Linked DNA regions of Macaca fascicularis. The protein of the gene in region 2 interacts with the protein of the main gene of each other region in a pairwise test. Links are inferred from orthologs where the notes say so. Each region holds a gene or a part of one and is shown on either strand. Other genes may lie near its edges.

Region 1 (15,187 bases), on a different chromosome or scaffold from region 2:
AGCGGCCCGGCGTTTCGGCCGTTCGTCAAGATGCCTGTGGTACCGAGAGGGAACAGAACAAGAGCTGGTCCGGTCTCTGGAGAGGGATCCAGGGCAGGGGCCTGCGGCCGAGTGCCGTCCGTTAAGTTGACTCGAAACCATTTCAGCGCCGTGTGACCCCCGAGGGGTTCAGCACATATTTTTTATGACTCAGTTTGCTCATCTACACAATGCACGGTCTTGTAAGGCCAGTGGAAATAAGAGCACACACACAACGTCCAATAAATGGTACTTCCTTGGCCCTCCCCTCGGATTGGCCGAGCTCTCCTCGCCAGACTCCGGGGGCGCGTGGACCTCAGCGTGATGACGCAAGAGCGGAGGAAGGTTCCTCTCCACCCCCGGCTCCGTTTCCTAGGAAACGTGGACTCCGCGTTCCACTCTGCTTCGCTGCCCCCTTGACGTCAGGCTCCGGCTGGGAAGGCGGGGCGTGTGCTACCGCCAGGGGCGGGGCGGCGCGGGCAGGCCGGCCGGGCTGTGCACCTGCGCCTCGGCGGGCCGCCTGGGGCACCGTCCCCGGCCCGCCCGGCCCCGCCATGGCCCGGCCGCAGAGGACTCCGGCGCGCAGTCCCGATAGCATCGTCGAGGTGAAGAGCAAAGTAAGGGCTCCTCCGGCCTCGGCCCTAGGCGCTCCCAATTCCCTCTTTCTCCCCTTCCCAGCTCCTTGGTCCCCGCCACCTCTTCCCTCTATCTTCCAAGTCCCATTCTGCATTTCTGCTCGCCTTCCCCCATCCATCTTCCTTCCTCCACTGCTGGTCTCCAGATCTCTCTGTGGCCTGAGTACCTGGAGGGCGGTGAGAAGACCTTGGACAGCGTCCCTGGTACTGGAGCTGAGGTCTGGGCTTAAGGCTGCCGCTTTTGCGGCAGCCGGTATCTTTCCCACCCCTGCCAGCCTGCGGTGAGAAAGGGGCGCAGGCTGTCCTGACTCCTCTCCCTCAACCCCGACTTCCAGTTTGACGCCGAGTTCCGACGCTTCGCGCTGCCCCGCGCTTCGGTGAGCGGCTTCCAGGAGTTCTCGCGGTTGCTGCGGGCGGTGCACCAGATCCCGGGCCTGGACGTGCTACTTGGCTATACGGATGCTCACGGCGACCTGCTGCCCCTCACCAACGACGACAGTCTGCACCGGGCCCTGGCCAGCGGGCCCCCACCACTGCGCCTATTGGTGCAGAAGCGGGGTGAGGAGGGGTACAGTGGGCAGCCTCTGTGGGGTAAAGTGCCTGTGGGGCAGGTCTACAAGGGTTAGTCCATGCCCAGGGTACCCACGTGTCACCCTCTGCAGTCCCTGCCCTTGACCTGACCTCCAAGTGGTAGGAAATAGCTACAGTGGCCCTGTAAAGAGCCCAAGTTGGGGAGTAGGTCTCTGATCTCAACACCCCCCTCTTCTGCAGCAGAAGCTGACTCCAGCGGCCTGGCTTTTGCCTCCAACTCTCTGCAGCGGCGCAAGAAAGGGCTCCTGCTGCGGCCAGTGGCACCCCTTCGCACCCGTCCACCCCTGCTAATCAGCCTGCCCCAAGATTTCCGCCAGGTTTCGTCAGTCATAGATGTGGACCTACTGCCTGAGACCCACCGACGGGTGCGGCTGCACAAGCATGGTTCAGACCGCCCCCTGGGCTTCTACATCCGAGATGGCATGAGTGTTCGTGTGGCTCCCCAGGGCCTGGAGCGGGTTCCAGGAATCTTCATCTCCCGCCTGGTACGTGGGGGCCTGGCTGAGAGTACAGGGCTGCTGGCGGTCAGTGATGAGATCCTTGAGGTCAATGGCATTGAAGTAGCCGGGAAGACCTTGGACCAAGTGACGGACATGATGGTCGCCAACAGCCATAACCTCATTGTCACTGTCAAGCCGGCCAACCAGCGCAATAACGTGGTGCGAGGGGCATCTGGGCGTTTGACAGGTCCTCCCTCTGCAGGGCCTGGGCCTGCTGAGCCTGATAGTGATGATGACAGCAGTGACCTGGTCATTGAGAACCGCCAGCCTCCCAGTTCCAATGGGCTGTCTCAGGGGCCCCCATGCTGGGACCTGCACCCTGGCTGCCGACGTCCTGGTACCCGCAGCTCTCTGCCCTCCCTGGATGACCAGGAGCAGGCCAGTTCTGGCTGGGGGAGTCGCATGCAAGATGGTAGTGGCTTCAGCCTCTGACAGGCAGGATGCAGCCCCATGCCACTCCAAACTGCTGGGACATGGCAGGGACTTCACAGTGGGGGTTTTTAGCTGGCTCCCAGGGCTCCCTCAGCCTGGGGAACATTAAAGGTTTTTCTACAAATACAGTCTTGGTCCTTCTGTGTCCCAGTCCCAGCCTCCTCCCTGGTCCCACCAGCTTGTCTTCTGCTCTGGACTAAGTCCGGAGTGACAATGGGGAAAACTTCCTGCAATCAAGCAGCAGGAGGGCCACCAGGCTTGGCATTTTTAGGGTAAAAAAAGCTCTTATGGAAACAAATCCTGTGTACAAAAGGTTTAATTTTGGCAAAGCGGTTAAAAGGCTGGGGTGGCCCTTCTGCAGCCACTGGTGGCTGGGAGGAGTGCTCTAGGGACACTGGCCACCCCCCGCTCCTGTCTTCAGACCTCTGCTCTGGGATTGGGTCCGACTCTGTCCTTTGCAGCCATGTGGCGATCCTCAGCATGGAGCTCCCTGCCACTGTCCCTCAGAGGGGCTCAGGTATCCATCTTCACGAAGACTTTGGGCCGAGAAAAGATCTTGATGGCCTCCTCTACCTGCACCAGTTTCCGATCCAGCTCAGCACGGTGGCTCTGGGCCCTCAGTGAGTCTGCCCCGGCAGGCAGCAGTACCAGCTCACGCAGCAGCTGGCTCTGGCCTACAGGGGGCCCGGGAACAGTGAGAACAGTGAGTGTTGGGCAGGGGTGCCTGGTCCCCAGTGGGGTCCCCCTCCAGCCTCCCTGCCCAGGTACTCACTCTGGAGCAGCTTGGTCAGTGTTTCCAGCCGCTGGTTTTCAGGCATGCGCGTGTGGCCTGGGGGCATGGCAGGGTCTGGCTGGCTCTGCTTGCGAGCCTCAGCCTCCCGCTGCCACAGGTCCCTGCGCTCCAACAAGCTGTGGGTACACAGGTTCAGGGTTGATGACCCCAGGGCAGAGGTTGGTTCCCGCCCTCCACAGGTGTCTCCCTCACCCTGAGTGTCAGGCAGTGAGACCTACTAATGCGGCACATGGCCCTTCTGTGTGGCATTGTAGTGCTCCTGGGCCTGCCGCTGCTGCTCTAGCACTTGTGCCAGGACCTGCAGCGAGCAGGAATGCCTCCGGGGGGCCCTCTTCGCAGCTCGTGCATTGTGACGAATGAAGTCCACCCCCAGGCCTGGCTCCTGCAGGACACAGCAAGCGTGGGTGGGGGCAGACAGCATTATGTTGTGTCCCTGAACCCCCACCACACACCAGGAACCCTGCCCAGCCACCATCCAGCCCCCACACATCCTCTCACCTTAGCTTTGGGACCTGGTGGTGTTGGCTGGGGACTAGGTACACGGGGTGGTGGGAGGCCAGGGCCGCAGCGGGAGTGCGCCCGCAGGAAGTGTGCAGACTCTGTCCCAAAGGCAGGGCCAGGCTCCTGGAGGGCAGGGCACAGCAGAGAGACCAGGCAGGCTGAGGTCTGGGGCTCAAGCTGCAAAACCCTGGCCCTCTTGGCCCTTCTGACCTTTGCATCCGTGTCCCTCGGGCCCTCTTCCCTCTTCAAGAGACAGTTGTCCTCATCAGCACACAAACGTGTGAGTACGTCACATTTTTAAGAAAACAACAGGCCGGGCGCGGTGGCTCAAGCCTGTAATCCCAGCACTTTGGGAGGCCGAGACGGGCAGATCACGAGGTCAGGAGATCGAGACCATCCTGGCTAACACGGTGAAACCCCATCTCTACTAAAAAATACAAAAAACTAGCCGGGCGAAGTGGCGGGCGCCTGTGGTCCCAGCTACTCGGGAGGCTGAGGCAGGAGAATGGCGTAAAAAAAAAAAAACCCGGGAGGCAGAGCTTGCAGTGAGCTGAGATCCGGCCACTGCACTCCAGCCTGGGCGACAGAGTCAGACTCAGTCTCAAAAAAAAAAAAAAAAAAAAAAGAAAACAACAAACCATCTCTCCTTCCACCTCAGTACTGGCCCACCTACCACTCTCTTTCATCCTTCCTAGCCAAGCTTCCTGGCTCTAGCCCCGCAACGTTCCTGACGGCTGGCCTCCAAGTCCTCAAATCCAGGCGGTCACTTCCTTGGTCTCGTTGTCCTCAACCTGATCGTCAATAACTCCTGGGTCTCACTCCTGAGATCCAGGCCTGAATTTCCATCTGCTTCCTGGACACACTCCCACCCCCTGGGAGCCCCACAGATGCTTCAGCCCAGACACATTTGTGTGACCTTGCCTTTCCTCTCACTCCTGCTCCTCCTGCTGAGTCCCTGGATGGAAAGATGGTGCTACTCTCTACCCGAGACAGAGCCCCCCACCATACCCCTGCCCTTCCCACTGTCCTCAGAAATAAGGACTGAAAAGTGGCTTTTGTGGCCCCTGATGTGGGCCCAGCTGACTTCTTGGCCTAACTTCACGCCTTTCTTTCCTCACAGTGAACTGTACACCTGGCATCTCCACTGCTGCGTGCCCTGTGGTCTGTGAGTTTCCATCTTTTGGGAATGTTCTCCTCTGCTGTCCCCTTGACTAACTGCTGCTTGCCCCTGAGGATCAGCCCCGCCATCACCACTTCTGAGAAGCCCCCCAGCCTCGCCCTGCAGCAGAGCCAGGGTCTCTTAGTTCCCTCCCTCCCCAGAACTCGGATCAGGGTATAGCTGCCTGTTGGCCAACAAAAAGGATAATACTTCTGGCTCCCTGGAGCAGGTACCTGGAGCTGGGCCTTGACCTGGGACTCCACCTTATCGTACTTGGGTGAGCGCCACAGAGCTTTCAGGGGCCTGGGCTGTCCATGCTCTCGGCTGCGCTCCTGTTCTCTGAAGCGCTTCTGAATCTCCCTGATCCGCCTCAGGTTCTCCTTCTCATGGTCTTTAGGGTCCTTCCCTGGAGAAAAGATGCCACCAGTCTCTGCCCTACATAGGGCCCACACAATCCAACTTCCACTAGTTCACACACAGGCCTGCCCCCTGCCTCCTACAGAAAGAGTTCCCTTCCTCATGTAGTATTTCAGGATGACTGTCTCCATTATTATTATTACTATTTGAGACAGTGTCTCGCTCTGTCACCCAGGCTGGAGTACAGCGGCACGATCACAGCTCACTGCAGCCTTGACCTCCCCCGCTCAAGGGATCCTCCCACTTCAGCCTGCTGAGTAGCTGGGATTACAGACACACGCCACCACGCCAGGCTAATTTTTGTATTTTTTGTAGAGATGGGGTTTCACCATGTTGGCCAGGCTGGTTTCCATCTCCTGGGCTCAAGTGATCCGCCTGCCTGGACCTCCCAAAGTGCTGGGATTCCAGGAGTGAGCCACTGCGTCCGGGTGATTTTCTCCATTATTATAGTGAAGTATACCATAGATCATCTCATATATGACATTCATCTCCTGTTCTTTGTCTCCCACCTTGACTCAATGATGGCTCATGCTTATCTTCAACCCTGTGTTCTAGCACCTATATGGCCTGGCACACAGTGGGCACTCAACAAACAAATTTGACGGGTAATAAATGCACGAGCAGGCTGGGCGCAGTGGCTCAAGCCTCTAATCCCAGCACTTTGGGAGGCCGAAACGGGCGGATCACGAGGTCAGGAGATCGAGACCATCCTAGCTAACACGGTGAAACCCCGTCTCTACTAAAAATACAAAAACTTAGCTGGGCATGGTGGCGGGCGCCTGTAGTCCCAGCTACTCGGGAGGCTGAGGCAGGAGAATGGCGTGAACCCGGGAGGCGGAGCTTGCAGTGAGCTGAGATCCGGCCACTGCACTCCAGCCTGGGCGACAGAGCGAGACTCCGTCTCAAAAAATAAAAATAAATAAACAAACAAACAAACAAACAAACAAACAAATGCACGAAGCAGAGCTAGGGCTTCGTGGGAACTACCTTATTCAGTTCACTTCCTTCGAGAAGGTAGCACATTTCTCCCCCTTTTATAGTTGGGGAAACTGAGACTCAAGAGATGCAAAGCCTGGGCCCAGGTCAGGGCGGAAAGAGCAGCTGCTTTTGATCTCTTTCCACCCCGCATTGCCTCTCTGCCCCTTCTTCCATTCCTGGGACTTACTCTTAAGAGAGGCCCCAGGACCTAGGGAGATCCCCTCGAGTTGCAACAGCACGTCCCCGACGCCGCGCCGGCCGCGCTCCAGGATCTCTCGGGCACCGGGACCGATGCGGGGGCCACAGGGAGCGGTGGCGTCCAGGGCCCGGTCCGAGGTCAGCAAGTCCAGCTTCAGCGCGTTTCCCTCGAGGCGCCCTTGAGCTGTGGGGCGGAGCCGGGCGGAGTCCAGGACTCAGGTGGAGTCGGGGCCGACCCCTGAGCCTAGCACCACCGCCAAGCCCGCGGACTCACCCGAGGCCGGCCGCCGGTAGTAGTCAGGGCAGAGCGTCGGGTCTGGGGGGATGGGCCCCGAGATGCGGGACGGGCCCTCGCACATGCCGCCGGCACCGCCCAGCAACGGTGCCCCGAGGCCTGCAGGGCTGTGCACCTCCCTCCCCGGGCCCCCTTCCCCAACCCCGGGCCTCCTCCCTCGCCTGGGACCCTGACCCTGGCGTGCCCGTCACTCCCGGGCCCCTGCCGGTCCCTGCCTGGGCCCCGGCCTCGCTCGCCGCCTCCGCGACCTCTCCCCCCAGCCCACTTCTCGGTCCCGCTCGCGGCCTCTCCCCCGCGGCACTTGGGCAGGGGCTCACTCGAGAGGTTTTGCCGCCAGCCGCTGCCACCCGACGGGAGTTGTTGTTGCCGGGCAACCGTGGCTTCCGTCCCCGGGGTCAGGGCCCACTGACCCTGGCGCAAAGCGTCCTGGGGCTTGTAGTTTCCGCTGAGTGTGGGCTCCGCGGTCGCGGGTTTCGCTTCCCAGCTCTGCCCTCGCTTGCTGGCCCGTCTCCAGGGTCAGCGCGGGGCCACCATCCAGCCGCTCGGGGCCCTCCCCAAGCAGCTGTGGAGGATGCACTGAGCCTGCGCAGCCATGGCCTCGGCAGGGGCGGAGAGGCGGCCGGGGGTCCAGGAGGCTACGGTCGTGGGGCAGGGACAGCTCGCGGAGGACCCCGGCAGCGCTGAGACCTCCGAGGTGACCGTCAGGCTGTTTAACCTTCAAACAGGGGGCCGCAGCACTCTGAGAGGCGGAACTCTGAGCGCCCCGACCCGCTAACTGCCAGGCTGGGCCCTCCAGGCGGGGAGGGGCACAGGCTGGTGTCCTTATTCCCGTTTCGGTGTCTAATGTTAGGTGTTCAGTGACGGATCCCTATGTCCTTTGCCCGACCATGGTGACCGATGGCCTGTGTGTCACCTCTAGTGTCCAGTGGCGGAAGAACATTTCCTGGTGCCAGCCCATGAGGCCCGCGGAACCCAGGGTGAAGACCAGCGCCCAGCAGGCGCAGCTTCGGAGCTGGAGCTCCAGGAGGAAGGACCCAAGCTGGGGGAGGAGAGGCCCAAGCCGGAAGCCGGGGCGCTAGAGGAGAGAGGCCCCAGGCCCGTGGTCTCCATTGTGAGGCCCCGTCATGGTCCAAAGAGAAAGCCTGTCAAGTGAGGGGGCTCTGGGGGAGGAGGAGGGGAAGGAGCTGCAGGCCCGGGGTTGGGGCACACACCCCAGTAGCATTCCTGATTCCTGCACTCCTGCAGGAAGGATTCTTGTCCCCTGTCACTACCATCACTCTCCTCTCCCGTTCTTCCAGAGCCCCCATGTAGGGAGCAGCAGGAGAGTGGGAGCTTCAGGGTTTGTAGGGCACTGGGCTCACTGGCCTCTAAGCCTCTTGGGCCTGGGGCCTCATCGACCAGGAAAGGGGCAGGCGTCGAGTCCTGGGGCGGTGGGCAGGCTGGGGTATTCCCTGCGTCAGGTCTCTTGTCCCTGGCTCAGGTCCCTCAGCCTCCCGGGCCTTCGTGCCCATCCCAAGGCTGAAGCTGAGCTGCCACCCAGGCTGCCGCTGCAGGAGGAGGAGCCAGAGGGCAGCCAGAGTGAGCCCTCACCATCTGCCAAACAGCACAAAAAAGCCAAGAAGCGCAAGAGCCTGGGGGCTCCCGTGCTCCACGCTGTGGCCAGCACGGTGTCTGCACCCTTAGAGACATTGGGGCTGGAGCGTGAGTGGCAGTCCCTGGGCTGTTCCTTCTCCCTGTGGGGCCTGACATGGCACAACCTGGCGCTCTAGCCTCTGCCCTGCCCTGGGTCTTTGCAGGAAAGGCCCAGCGCCTGCGGCCCCTGTACCAGTACATCAACTATTGCAACCCCGAGCTGAACCAGGCAGGGGAGGGGGACGGGGAGGCCGAGGTGGAGGCAGAGGCAGAGCTGGCCCTGGTTCCTGAGGAGGCAGGTGTGGAGCAACTGCAGGCCTTGCTGCCCTTGGCAGGTGAGCTGGGCCCAGGCCTCGCTTTGCCCTGTCCCAGTCCATTAGTGACCCCCATCCATGCTCTGGCTCCCCTCGGAGAGGAGGCTGGGGGCTTGCCCAGCTTGGGGGTGAGTGACCACCACAAGGCTGAGGTGGATAAGTCAACCCAGGTGGACATCGACAAGATGCTGAGTGTCTGCACTGCTCCGCTTGTCCCCCCGCTCTCTCCTCAGTACAAGTGACTGTCCCGCCCCACTGGTGGCTCCCCTCCTTCCATGCCTGAATTTGGCTTCAGGCTTCCTGTGGGCCTAGGCCCTCTGGTGGAGGGGGCAAATTTGGCACCTGCCCCCACTTGGGACTTTGGGCTTGCTGAAAATAAATATTTTTCTTTTTCAAAGACTTTGTGATTCCCCGGATAGGTTTCCTGAACTGGGAAAGAGGATGGAGGACTCAACAGTGCAGGGTTTGAGGCCTGAATGGTCATCTGCATCTCCTGAGACTTTGACAATGACAGATGCCTTTGTGCCACCCCATGCCTCACTGAATTGGGGTGGACCTGGTACTGTGTGTTTAGGTGAATCTGAGGGTCAGGCGGCTAACTGGGTGATGAAGAGGGAAGTGAGGAGGAGGAACTTGGAGCAGAGGAAAGAAAGGGTCTGTAGGGTCATGGGAAGCAGGTGTTTGGCCCTACTCTTTGTCTCCTGGGGAAGGGCCTGCATTTGGTTTCACCTTGAGGGGATCAAAACTTGGGATCATCCTAGGAGGTAGCTCAGAGTTCTTTTGCCTGTCGCCGGAGTGAGAGCTTTGGGATGTTTTCCACTCATTGCCAGACCATAGCTGGACCGGACCTTGTCCATGGAGTAGCCCCTGGTCACAGGTGACAGGGCATCAGTGATGTTTTCCTGACAGGCAGGGGTGGGCAGGGGCAGTAAGTGCATCTGGGGCCCTGAGGCCAAGCCACTGGATGACAACTGTGTACAACCGGCAGGGATCTCTGCTGCCAGAGCCAGCCAGTGTTGGCCATTTTGGAAACTGCACATCCTGGGCCTCCTGTGTGTTCCTTGGACACCGCAAACAGACACACGGAATTTCAAGTTCATGGATAATTTCCCCTCCCTCCAACTGGCTTTTCCTCCTGTATCTCATCTGCGCAACTGTTTAAGCTAGAATCTTGGATGTCACCCCAGACTCCATCCTGTTCTTTGCCCCCTGATTCCTACAAGCTAAGCAGACATTGAGGCCAGTGAACATACCCTTTCAGGCTGAGAACCTCTCGGACCCCACAGTCAGCACCGTTGCCTGGACCACTGTCATCTCCAGGTGACAGCCTCACTGGTCTCCCTGCCTGTCGTCCCTTGGCCCACAGATCCATCCAGTGGCCCTGCGACACACACACCTGAGCCCCTGATGGTGTCACTCCCCCTTGGGATTCCCCTTCTCTTGCCCCAGCTACCTTAGAACTCAGTGGCTTCCTGTAATTCCCTGAGCAGTTACACCTTTTCCTCCCTTTACTCTGTGCATGTGGGGTTTCCTCTGCCTAAAATGCCTTTATTCCCACCTCTCCCCCTGGCTAGTGCACATATACCTTTGAAAACCCTGCTTCCTGGGGAGGCAGACAGCATGCCATGTTGCCCTGCATTGTAACACCTACATGCTACTATCATGTGGGTTTTAACTGTCTTCAGGGCTAGATTGTGAGCTCCCTAAGGGCACATCTCATTGCATCACATCCACCAAGCCAGAGGGCCCCCTAAAAGGCACCAAGGTGATGAGACCGAAGTGAGGGTGGAGGAAGTTGCAAAGAGGGACATGCCGGAATCTGAAAGGCTGAGGTCATCCCGAGGACACAGTCATGTGTAGGTTCCCTGGAATATGACCTGGGAAGGTCACTGGAGGAAGTGGGATGGGCAGGTTCGGGTGGGAAAAGCAGGGTCCCCTTTCTGGCATCATCCCAGGCTGCTCCCTCCTTTGACAGGGTCACTTGGGGGCTCACTGGCCCCATGGCAAGCCATGGGCTCAGGATGTTTTTTTTTTCTTTGAGACAGGGTCTCCTTCTGTCACCCAGGCTGGAGTGCAGTGGCACAATCTTGGCTCACTGCAACCTCCACCTCCCGGACTCAAGGATTACAAATGTGAGCCACCGTGCCTGGCCAAAAAATTTTTTTGTGGAGATAGGGTCTGTGTTCCTCAGGTTGGTCTCAAACTCTGGACCCCAAGCAATCCTCCCTCCTTGGCCTCCCAAAGTGCTGGGATTACAGGCATGAGCCAACACACCCAGCCAAGATAATGGAGCTTAACCTCCTCGCTTTATGGTTGGGAAGGCAGAGGCCTGGAGAGAAGTGGCCTTGCAGGAGACTACACCCTGGGATCTAGGAATCCCTGTCCTCAGTTGTGCAGGATCTGCCGACCTGGGGACTCTCTGGCTAAGGCCTAACCCCAGAAGGCCCCCCTATCTTTGTGCAGCCTCCAGGGCTGGAAGTGTAAGCAAGGCCAGCACTGATAAGGAAGAGCTGGTCCTGTCTTCTCACAGGCGAGGCAGGAATTAGAAATCGTGGGAGAACTAGTCTGCAATTCCTGAGGCCTATTACCCAATGGACTTGTCTAAGCAGGGTGGGTGGCAGGAACTGCAGAAAGGATCAAGTCCCTACTACTCCTAGAAGCTCGCTGTAAAGGGGCAATGCTACATGATTTAGGGAGACATGTGTAGCTGGGTGTGGTGGTCTGTGTCTGTAGTCCCAGATATTTGGGAGGCTGAGGCAGGAGGATAGTTTGAGCCCGGGAGTTCAAGACCAGCCTGGGCAACATTTTTCCCTGTCTCAAGAAGTAAAAATGATGCAGCCATAAAAAAGAATGAAATCGTGTCCGTTGCAGCAACATGGAAACGGCTGAGACCACTATCCTAAGCAAATTAACACAGGAACAGGAAACCAAATAGAACATGTTCTCACAAGTGGGAGCTACACATTGGGTACACATGGACACAAAGATGGGAAACACAAACACAAGACTATGAGAGGGGGCAGAGAGGGGGTGGGGTGAGTGTTGAAAAAACCTATTGAGTACTGTGTTCACTACCTGGGTGATGAGAACAATCGTCCCCAAACCTCAGCATCACACAGTATACACATGTAACAAACTTACACATGTACCCCCTGAATGTAAAATAAAAGTTGAAATTACATATTCAAAACAAGTGGCCAGGTGCAGTGGTTCATGCCTGTAATCCTAGCACCTTGGGAGGCTGGGGGGGGGGGGCAGATCACTTAGGCCAGAAATTCAAGACCAGCCTGGACAACGTGGTGAAACCCCGTCTCTACTAAAAATACAAAAATTAGGCTGGGGGCGGTGGCTCACGCCTGTAATCCCAGTACTTTGGGAGGCCAAGATGGGTGGATCACGAGGTCAGGAGTTCGAAACCAGCCAGCCGGCCAACATGGTGAAACCCCGTCTCTACTAAAAATACAAAAAAATTAGTCGGACGTGGTGGTGTGCGCCTGTAATTCCAGCTACCTACTCGGGAGGCTGAGGCAGGATAATTGCTTGAACCAGCGGGGTGGAGGTTGCAGTGAGCCGAGATCACACCATTCCACTCCAGCCTAGGCAACAAGAGCGAAACTCCGTCTCAAAAGCAAACAAAAAACCCCCCCAAAATTAGCCAGGTGTGGTGGCGGGCACCTGCAGTCCCAGCAACTTGGGAGGCTGAGGCAGGAGAATCACTTGAACCCGGGAGGTGGAGGTGGCTGTGAGCCAAGGTGATGCCACTGCACTTTGGCCTGGGTGACAGAGTGAGACTCTGTCAAGAAAAGAAAGGAGGGAAGGGAAGGGAAGGGGAGGATAGGGAAGGGAAGGGGAGGGGAGGGGAGGGAGAGAGGGAAAGAGGAATGGAAGGAGGGAGGGAATAAAGGAAGGAAGGGAGGAAGGAAGGGAGGGAGGGAGGGAAGGAATAAAGGAAGGAAGGAAGGGGGAGAGAGAGAGAGAAAGAAAAGAAAAAGAAAGAGAGAAAGAAAAGAAAAAGAAAGAAAGAGAGAGAGAAAGAAAGAAAAAAGAAAGAGAGGCCGGGCGCGGTGGCTCAAGCCTGTAATCCCAGCACTTTGGGAGGCCGAGACGGGCGGATCACGAGGTCAGGAGATCGAGACCATCCTGGCTAACACGGTGAAACCCCGTCTCTACTAAAAAATACAAAAAACTAGCCGGGCGAGGTGGCGGGCGCCTGTAGTCCCAGCTACTCGGGAGGCTGAGGCAGGAGAATGGTCTAAACCCGGGAGGCGGAGCTTGCAGTGAGCTGAGATCCGGCCACTGCACCCCAGCCTGGGCGACAGAGCAAGACTCTGTCTCAAAAAAAAAAAAAAAAAAAAAGAAAAAAAAAGAAAAAAGAGAGAGGGAGGGAGGGAGGGAGATGCAACCTCAGTGCAACTGAGGACCAAGGCTGTGGGACCACAGGTTGGGGAGTGGCTACTTTGCCGAGGGCAGAAGTGGTGACCAGGCAGTCCTCCAGCTGACTCCTGAGAGAGGTGGTGCCTTCCAGGCAGAGGACGTGCCAGGGACAAAGCCCTGCTAGTATGGAAGCTGCCACCTCTGCAGGAGGGCTGCTTAGTGTGGCTGGAGTGGAGGGCACGGCCATATGGAAACCAGGTTGGGCAAGTCCGGGGGTGAGGAAGAGGGGTGTGGACAGGGAGGGATCTTGGCGTGGCGTTCAGGAGAGGCTGCTTGGCCGGCAGGGTGACGGGCAGAACAGGAAAGGAAGCGGCTGCCACTGTCTGGGTGAAAACAGTTCTGGATTTGGTGAAAACAGTCCTGGATTTGGCTGGAGGTTGAAGAATAAGCAACAGGTATTCTGGAAGTTCTCTTCTGGTTGCTGTATCTGATGAGCAAAGCTAACTGCATTTTTACTGTTCTGGAAATACTTTATTTTGACCTGAGAAAGAGCTAGCTAGTAACATCCTGAGATTTGGAAACAGGTCCTGGGAGATGCTGTCTTCTTCCAGGAGGGGGCACTGCTGGACAAGTCTGGAACCAGTGTGGGTTCAGTCCCGCATGGAGACCAGAACCCTGTGGGCTCCCTTGGCCACAGGTATCTGAGCACATCTGTCTTCCCCATCCCATGTGGGACTGACCAGCTCTGATACCCAGGAGATACTCGATAGTAAAGACATCTGAGGGAAGAGGCCATGTACCCCTCTGGCCATGAATCTAGGCTCTGGGGATTCCCTTAGAGGAAACGGGATCCTCATTGAAGTAGCTCTACACTAAGCCCCAGCACATTCTGGGAACCCAAGTGCCATTCTGGATGGCCACATGGCCCTTTCTTATGTGGGAGCATGTAAGTCGGGCTTGTGCTTTCCTGGTCAATTCCCACATTTCAGAGCAACCTCAACATCCTAGCAACAACATGGGAGGACTGAGCTGAGCTAACTGTCCCAGGGACAAGGGGGCAGCCTCCCCTTTAACCTTCAGTGTCCTGCCTGGTGGTGGGTGCTGTCTGCACTTCACTTCCTAGTTCAGGCCAGGCCAAGGCTTCTGCAGCAGGCAGAGGCAATGCCGGGCCCTCGGGTGTGAAGACTCCCAAGTGCTGGGAGGAAGTGTGGTTCAAGGTCAGGCTCTGCGGTTAGATGGTCCTGACCAGGCTCCCAGCTCCATCATGGACAACCTACAGGAGACAAGTAGCTTTGCCCTCTGTGCCTCCATTTTATGATCTGAATGATGGGAATATTTACCGTCAGAGAGTGGTTTGGAAATTAAGTGAAATAATAACATACATGTTTGCCCTGAGGGTCAGCATGCAGTAGGCACACTCCAACCCCATCCCTTGTTATTCCCTCTCACAAGGATATCTGAATCCAGTACATGACAGGAAAACAAGCCTGGTGACTTCTAGAAGAGGTGCCAAGAGGAAAAGGAAGCCCTCCCTGGGCTTTTCTGGCAAGGAGCCCAGGGCAGGGAAGTGGGCGGAAGGTTAGAGAAGGGAACAGAACTCGGTCCAGGCTGAACGAGCCTGGCAGGCTGGTCAAAGACGCAATGGGGAGGGCGTGTCCTTTCTCATCACCACTCCCCACCCCAGCTTCTGGAGGTGGGTAGAAGGCTGGCCCTGTGCAGAGCACAGTCAAGAGCACAGTGGGTGATTGGCCCTCAGGTCCAGTCACAGCTGCTCCACGGGGCATGCCTGGAGCTCTTCCTCCTACTTCTCACCCTGTGCCACCTCCCTGAAACCACTCCTCCCCGCCACCTCAAGGGCACTCTGGCAGCCAGCACCATGACATTAAGAACAGAACCCCTCCTGACCTCCAGCCCAGTGAGGCCCCAAACTCTCCCGATATCTGCTGAGACGGCAGGCGCAGCAGCAGCCCATCAGGAAGTCCTGACTCCTGTTCTCTGAGGAAATCTTTTCTTCGGAGGCTCCTGGGATTTGGCTATGAGGGAACAGGTAGGAGACGAGGGCTGGAGGGGCAGCAGCCCGTGTGGCACAGTTGACGGTGATGACCCACGGCTGGCTTCAAGCTGCTGTGGAGCAATGAGTGAAGAGAAAAACCCCCTACAGCAAGAAACAAGCCTTTCAGTATTAAAGAAACCCAACCTACCAAACAAACACCACATGCCATGTCCTATTTTCTCAATTATTTATTAACATTTCTCAGATGTTCTAAAGCCCTCCCTTGCCTCCTCTCTGCCAAATCAGGGCCCTCTGTCCTACTTCAAAAGCCTGAGAGCTCACTTAATAAAGCAAGCC
Region 2 (15,211 bases):
ATCCCAGTTACTTGAGAATCACTTGAACCAAGGAGGCGGACGTTGCAGTGAGCCAAGATCGCACCACTGCACTCCAGCCTGGGTAACAGAGTGAGAGACTCTGTCTCAAAAAAAGAAAAAAAAAGTATGAAAACAGAAAAAAAGAAACATACAGGAAGAAGCAGGCCTTTTCCTTTTCTTCCCCTAGATACTGTCCTTTCTATGTATGAAACAGGAACCGCAGCCATCATCCTACAACCACATGAGGCTGCCGTGTCAAGGCAGGTTCAGTGAAAAGATGGAGAAACCTGAGCCCCCGATGATGTCTCTGAGTCACTGAATTAACACCCCTGGAGCTGCCTCTTTAGGACGTCTTTGCATGTGGAATAACAAAACTTCCTTAATGTTCTTGTTGGTTGAGGAAGGGTTTTCTTTGACTTATAGTTAAATGCATCTTAATTGACAAAGAAACATTTGGGAACTGTCTACACACGGAGTGCAGGTGAGCTCACTGGGGCACAGTGGACACAGAGGAGAGTCCAGGCCAGCGGAACAGCACATTGAAAAGCTGAGGGCCCGGGTGCGGTGGCTCGCCCCCGTAATCCCAGCACTTTGGGAGGCCAAGGCGGGCAGTCACTTGAGACCAGGAGTTCGAGACCAGCCTGGGCAACATAGCAAAACCCTGTCTCTACTAAAAATACAAAAATGAGCCAGGCATGGTCAGGCATGGTGGTGTGTGCCTATAGTCCTGGCTACTTGAGAGGCTGAAGTGGGAGGACTGCTTGAGCCTGGCAGGTCGAGGCTGCAATAAGTACTGATTTGCACCACTGCACTCCAGCCTGGGCAACAGAGCAAGACGGTCTCAAAAACAAAACAAAACAAAAGGCCGGGCGCGGTGGCTCAAGCCTGTAATCCCAGCACTTTGGGAAGCCGAGACGGGAGGATCACGAGGTCAGGAGATCGAGAGACGATCCCGGCTAACACGGTGAAACCCCGTCTCTACTAAAAAATACAAAAAAATAGCCGGGCGAGGTGGCGGGCGCCTGTAGTCCCAGCTACTTGGGAGGCTGAGGCAGGAGAATGGCGTAAACCCGGGAGGTGGAGCTTGCAGTGAGCTGAGATCCGGCCACTGCACTCCAGCCTGGGTGACAGAGCAAGACTCCGTCTCAAAAAAAAAAAAAAAAAAAAAAAACTGAAGGAAAAAAGGAGGTGGTAATGATAGCTAAGAGGCAGAGCCTAGAAGCAGACGGCAATGGGAGGCAGCAGCTTGGTGCCTAAGAGCTTGGTGGAGGTACTGAGAAGGAAGGAGCAGTGGACAGTAGAGGACGCTGCTGGCTGAAAAGTAAAATAAGACAGGCAAGTCCTCATCTACCTTGGTAAGGACAGATATTGACTGGGAGTGGGAGAGGAGGGGATGACAGGGGAAAGCAGGGAGAGGACACCTGGAGCTTTTTCAAAGAGAGAACCTGGTTGCCATGGTTACTACTGAAAGTGACCTGGCTGGGTACAGTGGCTCATGCCTGTAATCCCGGCACTTTGGGAGGCTGAGGCAGGAGGACTGATTGCGCCTGGGAGGCTGAGGTTGCAGTGAGCTGTGATCACACCACTGCACTCCAGCCTGGATGACAGAGCAAAACCCTGTCTCAAAAAAAAAATAAAATAAAAAAGAAAGTTGACCCTAGTCAGGGTATAGGAGATCCTGGCTTTGTGATGAATTGGCTGCAGGACCTTAGGCCAGGCTCTTCCTGTCTCCTTTTCCACCTCAATCCCCTCTGCCGGTAAAATGGAGGGGGCCTGGTGGAGGATCATCAGGCCCTTCCCTGTGGCTGGCCTCCTTATGGGCAGCCACCACGCTGAGGACCCCATGTAACAAGCACTGGCCAGGGGCCTTCCACCGAGGAGCATCTCATCGAATCCTCCCAACACGCTGCCCTCGCTGTTCCCATGCCCACTTCACAGAGGAGGCCCCAAGAGACAGAGAGATGCAAAGTTGCTTGCTCAAGATACTACAGCTAGTGAGCTAGTGGAAAGTTCTAACCTCATCCCCAGCATCCCCAGATCCCGCCCAGCACTCTGCACAGCTCATCCCTGCCTGCCCATGTCTCCCCTTTTCTCGGACTTGCTAAATCCCCTCTCTGGGAAGCCACCCTGATCAGCTTCATCCCACTTTAGGTGCCTCCATGAGCTCAGCATTGCCACAGCCCTCTGCCAAGCTAAGTGGACTGTCCAGGCAACTTTGCGCCTTGCCAGAGCCCTGCAGAAGCAGGAGGCTGAGCTCTACCCTCAGGCTCTTTATCCCTCTCTGACCCTGAATCCTGAGCCCACTGATATCATACCTGGCAACTACAGCCACAGCCTGGCCTGGGGCTGGGGCTGGGCCAGGCCTCCTGAGCTAAGGGTGGGGCTTGTGTGGCTTTACGCAAAGCCAGGGCCCTGCCACCGTCAGCCAGGAGTGGGAGCAGCTTCCTCAGACCAAACAGGCGAGAGGAAGGGCCATGCCTCCCCAGGCCTTGCTCTTTCTCTGGGGCCCCCTCCTGCAGCCAGGACCCAGACCCTTCGGGCCTCTGCTCTCACCTTGCCGACTCACAGGGGCACCTATGCCGCCATAGCAGGAAGGGACTGAGATCTTTTCTTCTGAGCCACGCCCATCACTCAACATGTCCACCTCATCTTCTGCAGACAGGGATGCCCAGGTCACTGCTTTGGGGCCGAGGCCCAGAGGAAACTCACGCCCTGGGCCCTGGCCAGTGTGACGCAGCCTATGCAGTATGCCCCAGGGAGTTTGAGGAGAGAGAATTCACAAGGCTGGGGAGCAAGGACCCAACCAGAATGGGGCTGTTCTTGTAGTTCTTCCAGTTCTGCTCCCAGAGGGACCTGCATAGCCAATGCCAATGCTATGGTGGGGTGTTGGGGGGTGGGGATCCAAAGGCCTGAGCTACAGGAGTCAGGGTGGCAATGTGTGCACAGGCCTCTTGGGAGAAACGGCTGTCATGCTGGAAGAGGCTGGAGGGGGAAGGTGGACTGGGATCCCGACCCCTGGGCTGGGTAATCTCTTGGCCCCCACGTGGTTTCTAGGCACACACTGGCCAGTCCCACAGTGGGTCAAGGGGTTCGAATGTGAGTGGCAACAACTGTGCCAAGGGTATGGGGCCTCCTAATCTGAGAGCTTCCAGGAGGGAAGCCCAGCCCTCAGAGAGGACAGTGTGGGAGCTGCAGATAACACAATGTAGGCCGCTGCTCCAGCTGACAAGGGCCTTGTGATTTCTCTCCATTGGCCCAACTGTAGGAGGTGCGAGCACATGAGAGGCGAAGAGGGCATGAGGGCAGGGCACACTTACCATCCCCGTAGATGCGGATTCCTCGCCTCCTGGAAACCCAGGCAGGAGGAAGGAAGAAATATAAGTTAGGGCCCCTGGAATGATACCAGGGATAAGGCTCTGGGCACCGGACTTCAGTCAAAACTCAAAGAGATGGAAGCGGGGCCTCTACCTCCTGAGGACTTCCAGCCCCAAATCCCAGCCCCAGCCTGGGGTGAGACAAGGGACAGGCTTCAACATGACTCACTTTGCCCAGTGGAGAAGGATGGGGAAGGGGTGAAGAGCAGAGTCTTAGTGGGAAGACTACAAGACTTGCAAAGCCCACGAGTTCAGCCCCAGCTCTGCTCTGCAAAGGCTGTGAGGCCTGTTGCTTAACCTCTCTGAATCTTCTAGGCCTTAGAATGACTCAAAGTGGGGCCAGGCGCAGTGGCTCACACCTAGAGTGCTGGTAATCCCAGCACTTTGGGAGGCCGAGGTGGGCAGATCACGAGATCAGGAGATCGAGACCATCCTGGCTAACACAGTGAGACTCGTCTCTACTAAAAATACAAAAAATTAGCCAGGCGTTGGGGCACGCACCTGTAGTCCCAGCTACTGAGGCTGAAGTAGGAGAATCGCTTGAACCTGGGAGGCAGAGGATGCAGTGAGCTGAGATCATGCCACTGCAATCCACAGCCTGGGCAACAGAGCGAGACATGCTCTCAAAAAAAAAAAAAAAAAGGCCGGGCGCGGTGGCTCAAGCCTGTAATCCCAGCACTTTGGGAGGCCGAGACGGGTGGATCATGAGGTCAGGAGATCGAGACCATCCTGGCTAACACAGTGAAACCCCGTCTCTACTAAAAAATACAAAAAACTAGCTGAGCGAGGTGACAGGCGCCTGTAGTCCCAGCTACTTGGGAGGCTGAGGCAGGAGAATGGCATAAACCCGGGAGGCGGAGCTTGCAGTGAGCTGAGATCTGGCCACTGCACTCCAGCCTGGGCGACTGAGCGAGACTCCGTCTCAAAAAAAAAAAAAAAAAAAAAAAAAAGACTCAAAGTGGTATTCCGAAAAGCAAGAAGGAAGAGAGGTAAAAAATGTTTTGAAAACATGAAAGTGCAAGACAGATGTAAAAGATTCCCTTTACTGAGAACCCCAAACAGGGCCTGGCCCAGGATACGTCCATACACCATCTGTGTTTGCAGAATTAATCAATGAACAGTGAATGAACAGATGGGATGCCAAGCCACTCCTCCAGGGCCCATACCTTATTAAAAGCACAACCCAGTTTATGCTCAGATCCAAAGCTGGGCACCCCAGAAGAAGGTATAAAGAAAAAGACAGTGGTCAGAGAAGGCTATGTGGCCCTTATTTGTATTCCCCAAGACACTAGGAGTCATTGTCCTCTGGCCATGGAAGGATGGAAGGCAGGGACAGAAAGACCCCTGAGGCTGGCTCCTTACCCAGGATTCACAGGCTCCGAGGGCAGGGGCACTTTCCGGGTCTTGCTAAGGGAGGCCAAAGGTGAGCTCATAGTTCTACTTCTAGAATCCAGCTGTCAGGAACTCCCTAGAGGAATGCAGGAAGTCAGCCCTTGGGGACAGAGGGGATGGACTCAGGGCTTCAATCCCAGGGGGTAGTCTGAAGTTTCCACATCCCTGGCTACTCTTCCTAATGGGAAGCACTGTCTAGGCTGCAGTACCTTTTGCCGCTTCCACTGTCCCCACAGAGGTTTCTGGAAGTTTCTGTTATCTGCCTGCTCCTCTGGGTATACGGCTCTCTGCTCTGAACTGTGAGACCTTTGGCCTGGTGGTTCTTGGGAAAGGACTGTGAGGGTGGATGGGATGCAGAAATGAGTCAGAAGCCTGGAACTTTCCCAAACTTAGAGTCTGAAAATGCTACCACCCAGGAGGCTGTCCGTCCATTAGCCAGCTGGGTGACACAAAGCCCAAGTGTCTCCTTCCCTTCCACCAGAAACCTGGTGCCACTACCAACATCTCAGAGCCAGAGAGGGCAACCCACAGGCAGGATTCAATCAAGACACAGTCTATGTGGGCCGGGCTCGGTGACTCACGCCTGTAATCCCAGCACTTTGGGAGGCCGAGGTGGGTGGATTGCCTGAGATCAGTGGTTTGAGACCAGCCTGTCCAACATGGTGAAATCCCATCTCTACTAAAAATACAAAAATTAATTGGGCGTGGTGGCATGCACCTGTAGTCTCAGCTACCTGGGAGGCTGAGGCACGAGAATCGCTTGAACCCAGGAGGTGGGGAGGTTGCAATGAGACGAGACTGCGCCATTGCACTCCAACCCGGGCAACAAGAGCGAAACTCCATCTCAAAAAAAAAAAAAAAAAGACACAGTCCAGGTGACGCCAAGGTTAAGATGCCAGGTTTTGCCACTCACTGGAGTAACCCATCCTCAGTTTCTTTTAGTATAAAATGGGGGTAACAGTACTGGCACAGGCAGTGTTCTGAGCAGATTCAGAGGTAACAGAGGTCTAGCCCAGCGCCAAGCTCAAAGCACTGAAAAATGTGAGTTGGGGCTGCTGCTGTTTTTGCTGTTGCTGCCACAGGAGGCACTCCTACATGTTAGTTTCCTTTCATTCCCTCTTCCTTCTGGAAAGAGGAGTGCACCTGAGGGACATAATCGAAGGCTACTACTCTATTCAGTAAATGACCTTAGGTGATCCACCCGCCTCGGCCTCGGGGGCCTCCCAAAATGCTGGGATTACAGGCATGAGCCACCGCACCTGGCCTGGATCAAATTTTTTAGGACAAATCCAAGCAAGCTCCACTTTGAAAATGTCTGGTTCTGGCCTCAGCCCTACTTCTGAAGCCAGTCAGCAAGGGAATCCATGCTGCCTGGAGGCAGCCTCCAATGCCTTCACTGCAGAGTTTGAGAATCATGACCTGCCCCTTCCTTGGAAGGAGCCCTCCTCAAGGATCAGGCCCAGAGTTTCTTCACCCCCACCCTGCCCCAGCCCCCTGCCCTTCTGGGCAGCCTCATGGGTTGTATGGCCAAGTCTGAGAGCCCCTCATGGCTCCCTTCATTAGTTCCCATGTGCTCCAGAGAGATCTTCTTAAAACATAAAGCAGGCCGGGAGTGGTGGCTCATGCCTATAATTCCAGCATTTCTCACCTAGGGAAAAAAATTCAAAATTCTGGCCAGGCGTGGTGGCTCACGCCTGTAATCCCAGCACTTTGGGAGGCGGAGGAGGGTGGATCATCTGAGGTCAAGAGTTCAAGACCAGCCTGACCAACATGGCGAAACCTCATCTCTACTAAAAATACAAAAACTAGCCGGGCATGGTGGGGGGCACCTGTAATCCCGGCTACTCAGGAGGCTGAGGCAGGAGAATCGCTTCAACCCAGGAGGCGAAGGTTGCAGTGAGCAGAGATTGCGCCACTGCACTCCAGCCTGGGTGACAGAGCAAGACTCCATCTCAAAAAAAAGTTCATAATTCCTTGATATAGGTGACCTGGTCCCTGCTTATGTCTCCTGACCTCATCTCCCATCTTGCCGCCTCCCACACTTGAGCCACCGGAACTGCTAGCAATATCTCAAATGCACTTGTATCCCGCCTGCCTCGACCTCAACCCCCCCACTCCCAGAATGGTCTCCCCACCCCTACCTGCACCCTTCCCTTGGCCAGCTAACTCTTCAGTTTGTTTTTCACTTATATTTTAGCTTTTTATTTGAAAGTTATTATAGATTCACAGGAAATTAGGAAAATAGTACAGAAAGATCCTTTGTATCCTCTACCCAGCTCCCCTCAACACATTTTTTTGTTTTGTTTTTTGAGATGGAGTTTCGCTCTGTCACCCAGGCTGGAGTGTAGTGGCGCGATCTCAGCTCACTGCAACCTCTGCCTCCTGGGTCCAAGTGATTCTCCTGCCTCAGTCTCCCAAGTAGCTGGGATTACAGGTGTATGCTACCACACCCAGCTAATTTTGTATTTTTAGTAGAGACAGGGTTTCACTATGTTGGCCAGGCTGGTCTCAAATGCTTGACCTCGTGAATCCACATACCTTGGCCTCCCATAGTGTTGGGATTACAGGCATGAGCCACTGTGCCCAGCCAATAGTTAGATTTTATATAACTACAGTATGATATTAAAATCAGGAATTAGGCCGGGCGCGGTGGCTCACGCCTGTAATCCCAGCACTTTGGGAGGCCGAGGCGGGCGGATCACAAGGTCAGGAGATCGAGACCACGGTGAAACCCCGTCTCTACTAAAAATACAAAAAATTAGCCGGGCGCGGTGGCGGGCGCCTGTAGTCCCAGCTACTCAGGAGGCTGAGTCAGGAGAATGGCGTGAACCCCGGAGGCGGAGCTTGCAGTGAGCCAAGATCGCGCCACTGCACTCCAGCCTGGGGGACAGAGCGAGACTCCGTCTCAAAAAAAAAATAATAAAATAAAATAAAATCAGGAATTGACATTTTTTCTACAGTTTGTATGTATAGTTCTATGCTGTTTGATCACATGGGTAGATTAAATCACATAGGTCAAGTTACATGGGTAACTACCACTGCAATCAAAATATAGAACTATTCTAGCCCCACCAAGATCTTCCGCATGGCCCTCTTTATAGTCACACCCATCCTGCACCCCTCCCCCAGCCCTAACCACTGGCAACCAGTACGTTATTTTCCATCTCTAATTTTCTTTTTATTTTCTTTCCTTTTTTCTTTTTTTTTTTTTTTTTTTTTTTTTTGAGACGGAGTCTCGCTCTGTTGCCCAGGCTGGAGTGCAGTGGCCGAATATCAGCTCACTGCAAGCTCCACCTCCTGGGTTTATGCCATTCTCCTGCCTCAGCCTCCCGAGTAGCTGGGACTATAGGCGCCTGCCACCTCGCCCGGCTATTTTTTTGTATTTTTTAGTAGAGACGGGGTTTCATCGTGTTAGCCAGGATGGTCTCGATCTCCTGACCTCGTGATCCTCCCGTCTCGGCCTCCCAAAGTGCTGGGATTACAGGCTTGAGCCACCGCGCCCGGCCTCTTTTTTTTTTTTTTTTTTGAGACAGAGTTTTGCTCTTGTTGCCCAGGCTGGAGTGCAATGGCGCGATCTCGGCTCACTGCAACCTCTGCCTCCCAGGTTCAAGCAATTCTCCTACCTCAGCCTCCCAAAGTGCTAGGATTACCGGCGTGAGCCACCGCGCCCGGCCCATCTCTATATTACTTCAAAAAAGTTACATAAATGTAATTATACAGTATGCAACCTTTTTCATAAAACAGCTTTGAGACATAATTCACATATTTCACCTTATTACAGTGTAAATTTAAGTTTTTAGTATATTCACAGAGCTGTACTACCATCACCACAATTTTAGAACATTTTCATCAGCCTAAAAAGACCTTGTACCCTCTAGCAGTCACCACTTACTCTCCAGCCCCCACCCCTTTTCCCAGCCAGTCTTAGGCAACCACAAATCTACTTTCTGTTCTATAGACTTGCCCATACTGCACATTTCATATAAATGGAATATATACTAAAATATACTAAAAACGATTGAAATTTACACTTTAAAGGAGTGAAGTATGTAGTACGTGAATTATATCGCAATAAAGCTGTCACAGGGGGAAAAACAAAAGACAAAAAACTCCTAAACCAAATTCAACATCTTCGTCAAACTCACTTCCTCCCCTTCCCCCTTCTTAATGGGACTCCATCACCCAACCACAGCATTTTTCTCTCCTTCCTTCCCTCTTACGCCATCTTTCCTCTTACACCAAACCCTGCAGGTTAAACTGTCTCACACATAGCTGCCCCTTTCCATGCCCACTGTCAGCTATCCTAGTGGAACTCACTGCCCATTCTGGGAGCTGTCACGTGGCCCCCAACTGACTTCCCTACTTCCAGTGTCACTCCAGTCCAATCCAACACATTGTCTCCAGGTTAATCTTCTCCCAGATTACAGGGGACCCTGAGGGCAAAGGCTGCATTTCCCCTTCCGTTTGGGGGGACTCCTGAGGGCAGGGGCGTGTCTCTTCCTCCTTCAGATTAGGGAGCCCTGAGGACAGAGTCGTCTACCTCCTTCACTTTGGGGCTTCCAAGGGCAGGACTGTGACTACCCCTCAGGCCAAAAGCTCCTTAACGCAGAGTTGTCACCCACTTCAGATCTGGCTGAGAGCAAAGCTGTGTACCATGCCTCTACATCTCTGGGACCAAACTCAGTGCTGTGGTTGACTCACAACATTCTTCTTCACACCTCCTCGGCCTAGCCGTCATCCCCAGGGCCCAGAGCTCTGGCGGGGACACGGTCCGGCCCGCAGCCAGCCGTCACTCCCTAATGCCCCCAGGACGCGTTTAGGGAGAGACGTCTATCACGACCTAACCCAGCCCTGGAAGCCGTGTCGCCTCCTTCCCCCTCCACGAGTAATCATGGTAAGCAGGGTCCCGAACCCCTCCTGTGGGAGCCGCGGAGCTCGCAGGCCCACGGGGCTCTAGGGGCTCGGGCTCCAGCCTGCGAGAGGACTCTAGGGGCAGAAAAGTCTTGGGCCAGACTCACCACGCAGGGCCGCTAGCCGTCCCGCGGCGCCGCCATCTTGTTGTCACGCGGTTTCCTAGGCGACCAGGACCCGTGCACTTCTCATTGGCTAGTTTGAGGGAGGCCTGAGCAACCTGCAGACAGCGAAGGTGGATACAGTCGCCTATGCTCGGATTCTATTGGCCCAAAGAGTCGGCATTCTTCGCGGGCGAATCCCAGAATGCACCGCTCTGAGCGGGCTCCAGGTCCGGGGATGGGGGAGTTCGTTCATACCCACAGGTGCAGGAAGGAGGAACCTGGGATTAGGTTGCTGAAACTGCTGGAAGCCTCTGAACCTGAATGTGTGATCCCGACAGTGCCGCTATTTTGCTAAATTGATCTTGGGGGGAATTATCCCTCTTAGCTTATTTCCCCATATGATCAGTGTTGTAACACGAAGTACTATAATACTTAGCGGAGGCTGCTTTGAGGATGGATTGCAATGATGCAACTACTTAATAAATGTTTCTTAAATCTGAGTTTCTGTGATAATTCCTTGTCCAGATTGGCGCCCGGAAGGGAGGCCCAAATTCTATTTCCCTTGCGTAAAAGTTGGGTAAGACAATTTCCCCTCCCTGAGCCTCATCTGTAAAATTGTTGGATTAGACTCAGTCACCAAAGCAGCTAAAGGCAGTTAAGAGCACGAACTCTGGAATTAGGAGTCCTGGCTCCTGACTGTGTGTTCTTGGACACTTTATACACCTTAGTTTTTACATCTGTAAAACAGTGATAATACTCACCCCCACTGGGTTGCCGTGAGGATTAAATAAGATATTGCAAAGTACACGATTTTAAAGGGGAAAGCCGAGACAAACAAAAACACCTGTAGAGAGCACTTTTTCAAAAACGTTTCCTGCTGTTAATCATCATCATCATCTCTCCACCCTTTCAGCTGTGATGGTCTGGCAGTTTATGAGTTCTGATCTCAGGCACTCACTTCTTGGTGCCCAGGTTCAAAAGCCCTTTCTCTGAACAACACAGAGTGCTTTTTTTTTTTTTTTTTTTTTCCATTTGACTTTCTAGCCTACCACATTGTCAGGGAAGGGTAGACTCTGCTCACTGCAACATCCGCCTCCCAGGCTCAAGCCATCCTCCCATCGCAGCCACCAGTGTAGCTGGGACTACAGGTGCGCACAACAATGCCCAGCTAGTTTTTGTATTTTTTTTTTTTTTTTTTTTTTTTTTGTAGAGACGGGGTTTCGCCATGTTGCCCAGGCTGGTCTCAAACTCCTGAGCTCAAGCGATCCACCCATCTCTGCCTCCCAAAGTGGACGGCATTCTTTGTATGCAAATTGGAAGCTAAAGAAAGCTACCACTACTGAGTGCCTTCCAAGTCAAATGGTAACATGAAATTTACAGATGAGGGCCCGGCACAGTGGCTCACGCCTGTAATCCCAGCATTTTGGGAGGCTGAGGCAGGCGGATCATCTGAGGTCGGGAGTTCAAGACCAGCCTGACCAACATGGAGAAACCCCGTCTCTACTAAAAATACAAAATTAGTCAGCCATGGTGGCTCATGCCTGTAATCCCAGCTACTCAGGAAGGCTGAGGCAGGAGAATCGCTTGAACCCAGGAGGTGGAGGTTGCGTTGAGCTGAGATCACCCCATTGCACTCCAGCCTGGGCAACAAGAGCGAAACTCCGTCTCAAAAAAAAAAAAAAAGAAAAGAAAAGAAAGAAAGAAAAAGAAAAAAGAAACCTACAAATGAGAAAACTGAAGCTCAGGGTAGTACAGTGGCTTGCATAAGATTATAAAGGCAGGAAGCAGAAGTGGATTCAAACCCAGAACGGTCAGCCTCAAGACTCCATGCTCTTCCTAGAAACTTTCACTCTGGTAAACAAGGCAGGCATAGATAAGCTGACGAAGCAGGTAGTACAGACCTACTGCCAAGGGAGTAGTCTGGGCAGAAAGTGTGACTGGAGAGTGGAGGTAGGAGGAGCTCTCTTGTTGCTGAGCTGCTCCCAGAAAGTTTTCTCAGGTTTTAGGTATATGAAGATGAGAAAGACTGAGATCATGCTGGGGCCAAGTGTTTTTTGGGGTTGGACCCATGGTCAGGGAGAGTAACAACTTCATGCTGTCACCTTGCTCTGGGAGATAAGCAAGCGTGGGAAGCAGGAGCTCTGGCCTCATGAGCCCTGCTGTGCTCTGCCCTCTGATTCGTGCCTCAGCAAGAACCAGATCATGAGTGGCTTACCCAGGCACCAGGATTTACCCCATCCCTTCTTCCCACCCAGGGCCTGGCTGGAGATTCCGCAGCAGGCAGACACTCAGCAAACATCTAGTTCCTGGAAGGAAAATGGGAGCCCTCTAACCTGGCAGGCCAGTTGTTTTTGTTTGTTTGTTTGTTTGTTTTTGAGACACAGTCTTGCTCTGTCACCAGGCTGGAGTACAGTGGCACGATCTCGGCTCGGCATAACCTCCACCTCCCTGGTCCAAGAGATTCTCCAGCCTCAGCCTCCAGAGTAGCTGGCACTACAGGCACGCGCCACCACGCCCAGCTAATTTTTTTGTATTTTTAGTAGAGACGGGGTTTCACGATGTTGTCCAGGATGGTCTCCATCTCCTGACCTCGTTATCCGCCCACCTCAGCCTCCCAAAGTGCTGGGATTGCAGGCATGAGCCACTGCGCCCGGCCCCAAGTCGAGTGATTTTTTTTTTCTTTTTCAAGACAGAGTCTCACTCTGTCACCAAGCTGGAGTACAGTGGCGTGACCTCAGCTCACTGCAATCTCCGACTCTCCGGTTCACACCATTCTCCTTCCTCAGCCTCTGAGTAGCTGGGATTATAGGCACATGCCACCACCCCCAGCTGATTTTTGCATTTTTAGTAGAGATGGGGTTTCACTTTGTTGGCCAGGATGGTCTCGATCTCCTGACCTCGTGAACCACCCGCCTCAGCCTCCCAAAGTGCTGGGATTACAGGCGTGAGCCACCACGCCCTGCTCGTTTGATTTTTTTTTTTTAAATAACATTTATTGGGGAAGTCACAGCCTTATTATAAAAACATACACTTTCACTGGAGAAACTTGGAAAATAATAATAGCTATCATTTGTTGAGGATACATTGCACTGTGAATCAGCATAACTTAACAACTCTATGAGGCTGGGCTCTGTCGCTTAATAGCTGGCTGTTCCTGCTCAAGATACTTCATCTACCAGTCTCAGTGTCCACACCTGTAAAGTAGAGATACTAATAGAATCTACCTCCTAGGATTATTGTACAAATTAAATTTCCCATAATGGGGCGCCGGCCTCAGCATGAGTGGGGACAACACTGAAAAAACTATATACACTATTTTAAAAATTCCTATAATGTTGTTGCATTATTGCTTCTGAAAAGGTGTTTTTCTTTTCTTTCTTTGCTCATTTATTTATTTTTAGAGACAGGCTGTATGTTGCCCAGGCTGAATTTGAACTCCTGAGCTCAAGGGATCCTCCTGATCCTACTTGAGGCCTCTCAGCCTCCCAAGTAGCTGAGACTATACCCTCTCGCCACTGTGCCCAGCTCAAAAAGGAGTTTTTGACTGGGCACAGTGTTTCACACCTGTAATCCCAACATTTTGGGAGGCTGAGGTGGGTTGATCACCTGAGGTCAGGAGTTTGAGACCAGCCTGGCCAAAATGATGAAACCCTGTCTTTACTAAAAAATACAAAAACTAAGCCAGGAGCAGTGGCTCATGCGTGTAATCCCAGCACTTTGGGAGGCTAAGGTGGGTGGGTCACCTAAGGTCAGGAGTTTGAGACCAGCCTGGCCAACATGGTGAAACCCCGTCTCTACTAAAAATACAAAAATCAGCCAGGTGTGGTGGCATGTGCTTATAATCCCAGCTACTTTGGAGGCTAAAGCAGGAGAATCGCTTGAACCTGGCAGTTGGAGGTTGCAGTGAGCCGAGGTCGCGCCACTGCACTCCAGACTGGGCAATAAGAGCAAGACTCCATCTCAAAAAAAGAAAAAATAAATAAATAAATTAGCAGAGCACGGTGGTGGACGCCTGTAATCCCAGCTACTTGGGAGGCTAAGGCAGGAGAATTGCTTGAACCTGGGAGGTGGAGGTTGCAGTGAGCCAAGATTGCACCACTGCACTCCAGCCTAGGCGACAGAGCCAGACTCTGTCTTTTTTAAAAAAAAAAAAAAGGAGGTGTTTTTCAGAAACAAAATTATAAAAGAAACCAAGAGTCTAAGCTCATCTGATTTTTTTTTTTTTTTTTGACCTATATTTCTCTTCCTACATCTTAGAAGGTCTGGAAATCTCTGAGGTCTCCAGGCTCACAAGACTTGAGTATTGTGAGGGCCTTGGAGATCCATCCAACCACTTCCAAGCTGGAAAAATTCCCTCTGGACTTCCGAGATGGGGTTGCCCAGCCTCATCGTGATCACATCCAATGGTGGATATTCACTGTCTGATGATGGTACAAGGGTCCTGGCCTGGGAGGAGGGAGGTCCTGAACAAGGCTCTTTCTGGACCTGTTTCCCCACCTGCAGGGTGAGGAAGTAGACCCCAGCTCTGGGGCTAGATGGCTCTGGAAGTCTCTATTATTATTATTAATTTTTTTTTGAGATGGAGTCTCACTGTGTTGCCCAGGCTGGAGTGCAGTGACGTGATCTCAGCTCACTGCAACCTCTACCTCCTGGGTTCAAGCGATTCTCTGCCTCAGCCTCCCGAGTAGCTGGGATTACAGGTGCCCACCACCATGCCCAGCTAATTTTTTTGTATTTTTTAGTAAAGATGGGGTTTCACCATGTTGGCCAGGCTGGTCTTGAACTCCTGACCTCATGATCCACCTGCCTCAGCCTCCCAAAGTGCTGGGATTATAGGCGTGAGCCACCGCGCCCGGCAGAAGTCTATTTTTTTTTTTTTTTTTTTTGAGATGGATTTTCACACTTGTTACAAAGGTTGGAGTGCAGTGGCACGATCTCAGCTCACTGCAAACTCTGACTCCCGGGTTCAAGCGATTCTCCCACCTCAGCCTCCCGAGTAGCTAAGATTACAGGCACGTGCCACCATGCCCAGCTAATTTTTTGTATTTTTAGTAGATACGGGGTTTCACCATGTTGGTCAGGCTGGTCTCGAACTCCTGACCTCATGATCCGCCCACCTCGGCCTCCCAAAGCGTTGTGATTACAGGTGTGACCCACCGCACCTGGCCAGAAGTCTCTATTCTTGAAAGCAGACAGAGTCTGCTTTGCTTTTAGGTCATTTCCTGAAAGACCCTTATCAGTTATGACCCCTCTGAGGTTAAAGAGTTTATTGAGTTCTACCAGCTCAGGAAGTAAGAGGTAAATAATGAGGAGAAAGAGTTCCTCCAAGTCTCTTTAGCAGAATACAAATCTAGCTATCTCTTCCACCTTCCCCCTTCTCCACCCACATCACCACCACCTTAGACGAAGCCCTCATCATCTACAGCTTAG

The links.
Region 1: the proteins of UBXN11 (region 2) and ENKD1 interact in binary tests that used the Homo sapiens proteins (3 or more experiments, as listed by UniProt). The two-hybrid records come from large-scale screens. The link is inferred for Macaca fascicularis from reciprocal best matches to the Homo sapiens genes UBXN11 and ENKD1.

The regions. Positions count from the first base shown.
Region 1 is NC_088394.1:63,695,830-63,711,016, forward strand, and holds ENKD1 (enkurin domain-containing protein 1), read right to left. Parts: upstream 6,890-15,187; 5' UTR 6,582-6,889; coding exon 6,497-6,581; intron 6,407-6,496; coding exon 6,212-6,406; intron 5,036-6,211; coding exon 4,863-5,035; intron 3,594-4,862; coding exon 3,468-3,593; intron 3,352-3,467; coding exon 3,188-3,351; exon of another isoform or gene 3,184-3,187; intron 3,086-3,183; coding exon 2,949-3,085; intron 2,851-2,948; coding exon 2,690-2,850; 3' UTR 2,478-2,689; downstream 1-2,477. Other genes in the region: PARD6A (partitioning defective 6 homolog alpha), read left to right, coding at 573-635, 800-871, 989-1,211, 1,425-2,176; C20H16orf86 (uncharacterized protein C16orf86 homolog), read left to right, coding at 7,642-8,218, 8,314-8,705. UniProt on the Homo sapiens protein: Microtubule-binding protein which regulates microtubule organization and stability. Promotes the stability of astral microtubules and facilitates the proper orientation of the mitotic spindle.
Region 2 is NC_088375.1:208,829,788-208,844,998, reverse strand, and holds the start of UBXN11 (UBX domain-containing protein 11), read right to left. Parts: upstream 9,830-15,211; 5' UTR 9,785-9,829; intron 5,101-9,784; 5' UTR 4,976-5,100; intron 4,843-4,975; 5' UTR 4,808-4,842; coding exon 4,737-4,807; intron 3,347-4,736; coding exon 3,318-3,346; intron 2,680-3,317; coding exon 2,554-2,679; intron 1-2,553. UniProt on the Homo sapiens protein: May be involved in the reorganization of actin cytoskeleton mediated by RND1, RND2 and RND3. Promotes RHOA activation mediated by GNA12 and GNA13.